2 linked regions of the Drosophila melanogaster genome follow. The protein of the gene in region 1 interacts with the protein of each later gene in a pairwise test. Each region holds a gene or a part of one and is shown in the gene's direction. Other genes may lie near its edges. The genes, in order: Or56a and mus304.

What was found.
Region 2: the proteins of Or56a (region 1) and mus304 interact in a two-hybrid assay, tested with the Drosophila melanogaster proteins (one large-scale study listed by BioGRID).

What each region holds. Positions count from the first base shown.
Region 1 is NT_033778.4:19,769,369-19,773,290, reverse strand, and holds Or56a (odorant receptor 56a), read left to right. Parts: upstream 1-2,057; coding exon 2,058-2,358; intron 2,359-2,474; coding exon 2,475-2,905; intron 2,906-2,969; coding exon 2,970-3,185; intron 3,186-3,245; coding exon 3,246-3,347; intron 3,348-3,559; coding exon 3,560-3,712; intron 3,713-3,773; coding exon 3,774-3,830; downstream 3,831-3,922. UniProt on the Drosophila melanogaster protein: Odorant receptor which mediates acceptance or avoidance behavior, depending on its substrates. The odorant receptor repertoire encodes a large collection of odor stimuli that vary widely in identity, intensity, and duration.
Region 2 is NT_037436.4:18,108,031-18,111,952, forward strand, and holds the start of mus304 (mutagen-sensitive 304), read left to right. Parts: upstream 1-1,783; 5' UTR 1,784-1,884; coding exon 1,885-2,520; intron 2,521-2,599; coding exon 2,600-3,922. Other genes in the region: Polr3D (RNA polymerase III subunit D), read right to left, coding at 1-497, 550-618, 691-1,070, 1,130-1,362. UniProt on the Drosophila melanogaster protein: DNA damage checkpoint protein required for chromosome break repair and for genomic stability during development.

The sequences.
Region 1 (3,922 bases):
TTTTGATTTGATTTTCACCAAATGTCAACTTGACGTCACGTCGTTCGTCTGTGAAGGGAAAGCGGAAAAGCGGGAAAGCGGACGTCGTCGTTGTCGCCGCCTTTGTTGTGCCGATTCAACTGCATGATTTATTGTTTTGATGAAATTGCGTGTAAACAATTTAGTGGCTGGTTGGCGCCAAAAGCCCAAGTAAAGTCCTCCCACTCTTAAAGTCTATGGACTTTTAAAAGACTTTATTTAAGGTTAAATGTGGCTATAATTCATGGCCAACAAAGTTGCATAGTTTCAAAATTCTCCGCAAAAGATTTCATCGAAGTTGACTTAGTTGATGGATTATAATGCCATAACGAGATGTTATTTTAGAGATGCTTTAGATGGTATGTTGGGAAAATAATAATTTTACGATACTCTAGTTGAGTGGCAAGCTTAAATGACAATTGCTAAACTTGTATCCTTGCAAATGAACCGCAATCGTTGTATATATGAAATTTCCATTCCGATATCGCAGCCACAGAACACGCAAAGATGTCAAAAGGAATGGAGTCAGACCACACGAGCTCTCGATGGGAAAAGCCCTTAGTTATGGGGCTGTTAAAGCTGCAAGTTAACCACAAAACTGAACGCAGCATCGTGTGCAATTCCGACTACCAATAAATATGCCATAACAATAAGCAAGGCGGGCTAATATCCGATTACTCTGCCCCGGCAAATGTGGCGTGAAAAGCGCCAAGCCAAACCGAGTCAAGTCAGGCCAATACAGATAGATACTCCACCGAATCCTTCCGATTTCCCATTCCATTTTGCAGCAGAGCATGAAACAAACGCATAAGTAAATACCAGAAACGAGTGACTTTCAATATCCTCACAGGCTTATTGCTTACAGCAAATTTCACGCCAGCAGACAGACAAATACGACCGAGCTGCGAATGCATTTACACATTTGCAAACACAAACATCAGAGAGACAGTTGCAAGCATGCAACATACAAATATGCGTGCATTGAGTTTTCCCCCACAATAGCACACATCCCATTTTCCCGAAGCTCAGAGCTTGTGGAGCATTTCCATGCTGGATTCGGGCTCGAATTCCGGAGATGGACTGGGATCGGTTCGCACCCAGCCATGTCTGAGTGCGTTTCCTCCAACGCATTTACGTTTATTGCATTTGTAAATTATTCACACAAGGATATTAAATGCAAATTGTGAAATAGACGACACACTCGTGCCGCACATGCTTCGCTCCACAGATACAATATCCGTTGATGCCCCATGTATATATTGGCGAATTACTCAGCTCCTGCATATGATTGTCACATGCAAAAACGATTCGAGATTCTCGTTTGCCGACTCTGAGTTCCCGCCTCGGGCTCTCGGATTCTCAGTTTTCTCGGTCCTCGCATTCCATCTTCCTTGAATGCCATTTGCCGAAAGGACCTTTGGTCCCATGTGAGGTTAGTTGGTTCGATGGTCGATAGTTGGCTACGCAATCTGACCACTTGATTGACTCTGGCCCCCATTTGGTTTGTGCACCTGCAATTCGACCCAACGAGCAGAGATCAAAAATTAATTTTATTAAAGCCTGAAGCACTACTACTCACATCTTATTTATTCGTTTTCCATTACCTGATTACACTCTGGCCCCGGCCGCTGGAAAAGGGACACTCTCGAAAAGTAGCCAGAACAAGTTGGGAAAAAGTTTAATTTCACTAGCAAATTTCACTCACTCGCATGCAACGCTGCCTAAACACATTTGACATTGCTGCCCCTGAATGTGGACAAAGTTTTGGGCGTCGCACAGTGTAACATGCAAATCGAATTTAAACTTCGCCACAAATAATTGAAGGCCATCTGGCTGGAGGGCTTACACCTAGCACATTACCAAATCGTCTATGCAGAACTGCAGCACCTGTCGGTAAACAGGTAAACAGAGACAATTATTGGACAATTATTGGCACTTAACGGGGCCCCTTGCTAATCAAACCACTTAGCACCTCAAAAAAAGTGGCTGTGAAATCCTATAAAAGACCCTTGAATATGGTTAACGCTAAACAGTTTAACATGTTTAAAGTTAAGGATCTGTTGCTTTCGCCGACAACTTTCGAGGATCCAATTTTTGGAACCCACCTGCGATACTTCCAATGGTACGGATATGTGGCCTCCAAGGATCAGAATAGGCCTTTGTTAAGTCTTATACGGTGCACCATTTTGACGGCATCGATTTGGCTTAGCTGTGCTTTAATGCTGGCGAGAGTGTTTCGTGGTTACGAAAACCTCAATGATGGGGCCACAAGTTACGCCACCGCAGTCCAGTATTTCGCGGTATCGATTGCCATGTTTAATGCTTACGTACAAAGAGATAGTAAGTTTAAATTATAAATTTAATTTGTTTATTGATAAAAACAACAAGGAAATCACATAATAAGGCGGTAATATTAAGCCTAGGATATGTTCTTTTATACTTACACATTGTTTTAGAAGTAATATCCCTTTTGCGAGTTGCCCACTCGGATATCCAGAACTTGATGCACGAAGCAGATAATCGGGAGATGGAACTTTTGGTCGCCACTCAGGCTTATACACGAACCATTACCCTGTTGATCTGGATACCATCGGTTATTGCTGGCCTAATGGCCTATTCAGACTGCATCTACAGGAGTCTGTTTCTGCCGAAATCGGTTTTCAATGTGCCAGCTGTGCGACGTGGTGAGGAGCATCCCATTCTGCTATTTCAGCTGTTTCCCTTCGGAGAACTTTGCGATAACTTCGTTGTTGGATACTTGGGACCTTGGTATGCTCTGGGCCTGGGAATCACGGCTATCCCATTGTGGCACACCTTTATCACTTGCCTCATGAAGTACGTAAATCTCAAGCTGCAAATACTCAACAAGCGAGTGGAGGAGATGGATGTAATAATCATTTCTAAATTTGTATACTCAAAAATAAAATATATAAATATTCTCGTTTGAGCAGATTACCCGACTTAATTCCAAATTGGTAATTGGTCGCCTAACTGCCAGTGAGTTAACCTTCTGGCAAATGCAACTCTTCAAGGAATTTGTAAAGGAACAGCTGAGGATTCGAAAATTTGTCCAGGAACTACAGTATCTGATTTGCGTGCCTGTGATGGCAGATTTCATTATCTTCTCGGTTCTCATTTGCTTTCTCTTTTTTGCCTTGACAGTTGGCGTAAGTTTCAATATTTATAGTTTTATAGTTTTCAAACTAATATTTAATGTGGCCCATTAGGTTCCAAGCAAAATGGATTACTTCTTCATGTTCATTTACCTTTTTGTGATGGCTGGTATATTGTGGATTTATCATTGGCATGCCACGTTGATTGTTGAATGTGTGAGTATAATAACAAGAATAGCATGATATATTTTTGACAAATTTTCAAAAGATCCGCCTAAAAAAGTTAATTTATTCTCTCATTTTTTTCATTCATATGTCGGATGAAGCTCTATCAATTCGGAGAAAAAAGTCCATAGCAATCAGACAATATCTCCGCATGATTTTTGTTTACTTCCTTTTAGTAGCCTCCCAAAATGTCCTTTTTTCAGCACGATGAACTGAGCCTTGCTTACTTTTCTTGCGGATGGTACAACTTCGAAATGCCTTTGCAGAAAATGCTGGTTTTTATGATGATGCATGCCCAAAGGCCGATGAAGATGCGCGCCCTGCTGGTCGATTTGAATCTGAGGACCTTCATAGACGTAAGGCTGCTAACTGCTAACTCGATATTGGATTTATCGAATTCAAGCCTTTCCTTTCCAGATTGGCCGTGGAGCCTACAGCTACTTCAATTTGCTGCGTAGCTCCCACTTGTATTAGAGGGAAAGCCTTTTCTTCAGGGCTAATCAAATGCCGTTGCGCCTGTCAACTCGTTTGGCTAACATGACAGTAAACAAGCCATGCAATTCATT
Region 2 (3,922 bases), on another chromosome or scaffold:
TGGAGTGGCCTTTAGTTTGGCTTGAATGGGTCCCAAGTTGATCATGTTTCCACTACGTTGCTCGCGATTGGCGGTTACAGACATGAGTTCCTGCAGAAAACCCGGATCGAGACCCATATCCAAGTCAAAGCGTGTGTCCCCCAATTGGAGTTTAACGCGACCGGATTTGTACCTCAGAATCTTGCCGATCTGCCCTTCTTCCAGCTGCCGTAGTACACTGCCCTTGGGTCCGTTTGAGCATTTGTCTGCAGGACTTGCTGGTTCCGATTCACTGGTGGCCTGATGATCTCCTTTAGACGGTTCCGGATCTTCGGAATCGTCGCCCACACATGGCAACACATCTGGCAGTTGCATGAGAAAGATCTGCGCTTCGCTGGAGTCCAGAAAGTTACCAATGGTGCGTGGGTAGCGACCGTACTGCAGCGGAGGTTCCTCTAAACTGGCTGCCTGGGCAGCCACATGCAGCTGTTGCAAATGCTGGGCCACTGCCAAAGTGTCTAGGAGCGAAATCAAATTAGATTATGCCATTTTTAAAGCTTAGCGCCTTACCCTTAAGTGTTGAGGTTGAACTGGCGATTTCTTGCTTCGCAATCGGTGTCTTCTGGGTGACCCAGAGTCCTAACGTTTATAAACAAATAAAGCATGAATTTCTTCTGCCCGTGTGCATCAAAAAGTGCTTGTAAAACGTACCCTCTTTTAGCAGGATGGGCCTGAGTGCCATCTCAGTCTTGTTAGCCTCCTCTTCGCTGAGCTCGCCGCCACTGGCGTCCGACTCGCCCAAGAGCTCCTTGATCCGCTCGGCCTGGCTCTTGTCGTCCTTGCGATCCACCCGTTTCCTGGTCACGGACACCTCCTCACCGCCCCGTGCATATGCCGTTCCATTTCCTGTGGACCTTCGCACATGAACATCGCCTGCTCCTTCGGAGAAGAGTCCCTGGGTTTGGATGAGCGTGGAGTTGCCCCCGCCAGCGGAATTTCCACCTCGACCACGTGTTGCTCCAGTGCCGTTGCCACGTCCACCTCTGCGGCCGCTCCTTGGCTGCGTGGTGTCCTTGGATGTCTTGACATTGCTGTGAATCAAATGAGATGATGAAAAGAATGACTCCCCCTGGGCCATTCCACAACTCACGCATTTTTATTGCGCACAGCATTCAAATTGGGAGCAAAGACCTTTTTGCTGGCTGTCCCAGCGCCGCGCCCACCAAGGGTCAAGTCGCGGGCGGGGGTCAGCCTGGTCATTCCGTTTAGCGTCTCCAGTGGGCGTGCACCGCCACCAGACTGACCATTATTCGTGGTGGACCCACTGGCTCCACTGATGGTCGAAGCTGCTGCTGTGGTGACCGTCATCCTCTTCGCTGGCATGGCGTTCCATTCGCGCCGCCCGTCACCTCGAAAATTCGACCGAAGTCGCTGGGTTCTGGTTTCCCCGTAAGTCCTTTAGTTTTGGGCTAGAATTTCCGCAGAATTCTTTGATTTTCCTTTGAGGTTAATGGGAAAGCTGAGTCGATACACCACATGCCGATACACCGCAGTCGATAGACTTGAGTGTAGCCAGATGACTTTGGTTTTGCTCAATATTAATCGGATTTTGAAACTGTGATTGTAGCGGGTTTCTATCGGCGCTTAAAAAAAACCAGCATAATAACAAAGAGCGATATTACAAAACTGGCTTTTTGTTGCAGTAAATCCTAATGTAGTATTTTTCTATGCAACATGGATTCGAAACATAATCTCTATTTTGGTTGGGCAAATCCATCGTTGCGATCAAATCCATCTGGCAACGCTAGTTGAGCTCTACATTTTATAAACAAAGCAAACCGGCAAAATAATCTACGACTTTCCATGGCCAAAAAGTAACGAAATATAGCGGAAACTGGAGGAACCATGGCCAAGCGCTTTTCTGCCATGAAAGACTTCGCGCGGTGCAAGAAACCGCGCCTGGATGTTAGCGTTACCCGCGGATCAGCGCGACCCAGTCCACCGAGGAACAATTTCGATGGGATTCTCTGGGACGACGATGACGATGTCATCCTGATGGCCACCCAGCTGGCGGAGGCGGAAATCGAGGCGGAGGAGCGGAAAAAGAAGGGCGGAACAGAGGTGGACATCGGCAACAGCGAGGTCACCTTCAGCGAATTTGCACCCACTTTTCAGGGCTCAACCAGCACACAGCAAATGTTTCCGCCGCCACCGCCGCCACAAAAGAAGCCTACTTCCCTGGATATGGATGCGATTTTCGCGGATGATGATGATTTCGATTTTCTGGCCGTTACCCTCATGGACAGTGAGCCACAAAAGATGCCGGAGCCGAAGACCAGCACAAGTAGGATAACTACCAGCAGCATAAGTGTTCAGCAGAAAACCACGACCACGACGACCATCAATGCCACGCAATCCCGCCAGCAGGAGCATCAGCTAAAGTTTCTCATGGATAGGATTGAAGCCCTTAAGCGGGAAAACGCGCAGCTGGAAAAGAATTTGGGCGACAGTAAGGAACGCAATGAGATCAAGTCTGGTGAGGTAGGTGGACATCGGGGTGGAACTATAACACCGATTCTAGACCTTACAGAAACTAATCCATTTATATTTATTTCTCTAGGTTTCCTTACTTCGTGATGAGCTGAAGCACTTGCGCCAGCAGCTGCAGGCTAGCAAAATGGAAAAGCTGGCTTTGGCCGACGAAACGAATCGGGATTGCAACAAAAAAGTGGCAGAAGCGGCCAAACAAATTGCGGCCAAGGACATCGAGTTGAAGATTAAGAACGCCGAGTTCTCAAAGTTGAAGACACAGCAAAAAGCCCATGAAAGAAGCATGAATTCCAGCATGAGCATTTTACAGGCTGCTCCAGATCCTTTGGAGAAACGCTTATCACTTCGCTTGAATAGGCTTAACATACACAGATCTGTGCCCGGGCTGAAAACCGATAATGGCAGTGTGTTCGAATACAGCGAAAATGAGGATCAGACTAAGAAACGAAGAAATCATTTTGAACTGGAATTAAAGCAACTGCTACTTCATTACGCTCGGCTGCAGGCAAAGCCGGAATCTGTGGATAACCTCCTGCCAAGAATACTCTCGTCGGTCGGCAAGGTATTCACGGAGTTTGCTTCGTATGCTCAAAGTTTGGACTTTCCACACAACTGCATGCTGTATCCCTACAATCCCCACAACCTAGAGGAGGAAGTTCATCGCATTTCCCTGACCCATCAGAGCTGTTTGTATGATAACGAAAAGGCTGTTCCGCTGCGTCGCTTCATAGCTACCTTGGCTTTGATTTGCCGGCGAGAGGAAAGGATTTCTAGAGGTCTCACGGAGTGGAAAGAAAATGATCTGGGACTGCTAGATATGGCTATTGAAGCTATCACAAAACTAGGATTTTCCTACGAGGTCGGCCAACACTTTGGATTGCTGGAAGCCTTGACTTCACTCCTAAATAGCCTCCTACAAGAAAATGCCCTTCTTCAACATAACGAGGAGCTACTCTTCGATCTGCTTAAGCAGTTAGTTTTTACTCGTCCCAGTCCTTGGGTTTTTGCTGAGCTTAGCTCCTGCTTTTTAAGCTGCCTTAGACATCCCCAACTTATGGATAAAATGTGTGTGAATAGTCCCAAGGACTGCTTTGTATCGGATCGCGTTCGCTCCGTTTATCGATTTGGTCCCGACTCCTGTTTACTTCAGGTCTACGCGGGCCTACTCGAGCTATGCTTCTTTAGTGAAACTCCTCTGCGGCAGGACTACTTTCAGTTGCTGCTCAAGATCGGAGGAAATCATGTGCGATTCGCGTTCGAGTGCTTCAAAAACCCACCGGATTTCATACTTGAAATGCTGCCTTACTTTGCCGACGATGGCGACGAGGACTCCAGCGATGGTACTCTGATGAAAACAGGCACCAGTCTGAGCTTCAACTCCACAGGAGCTGTG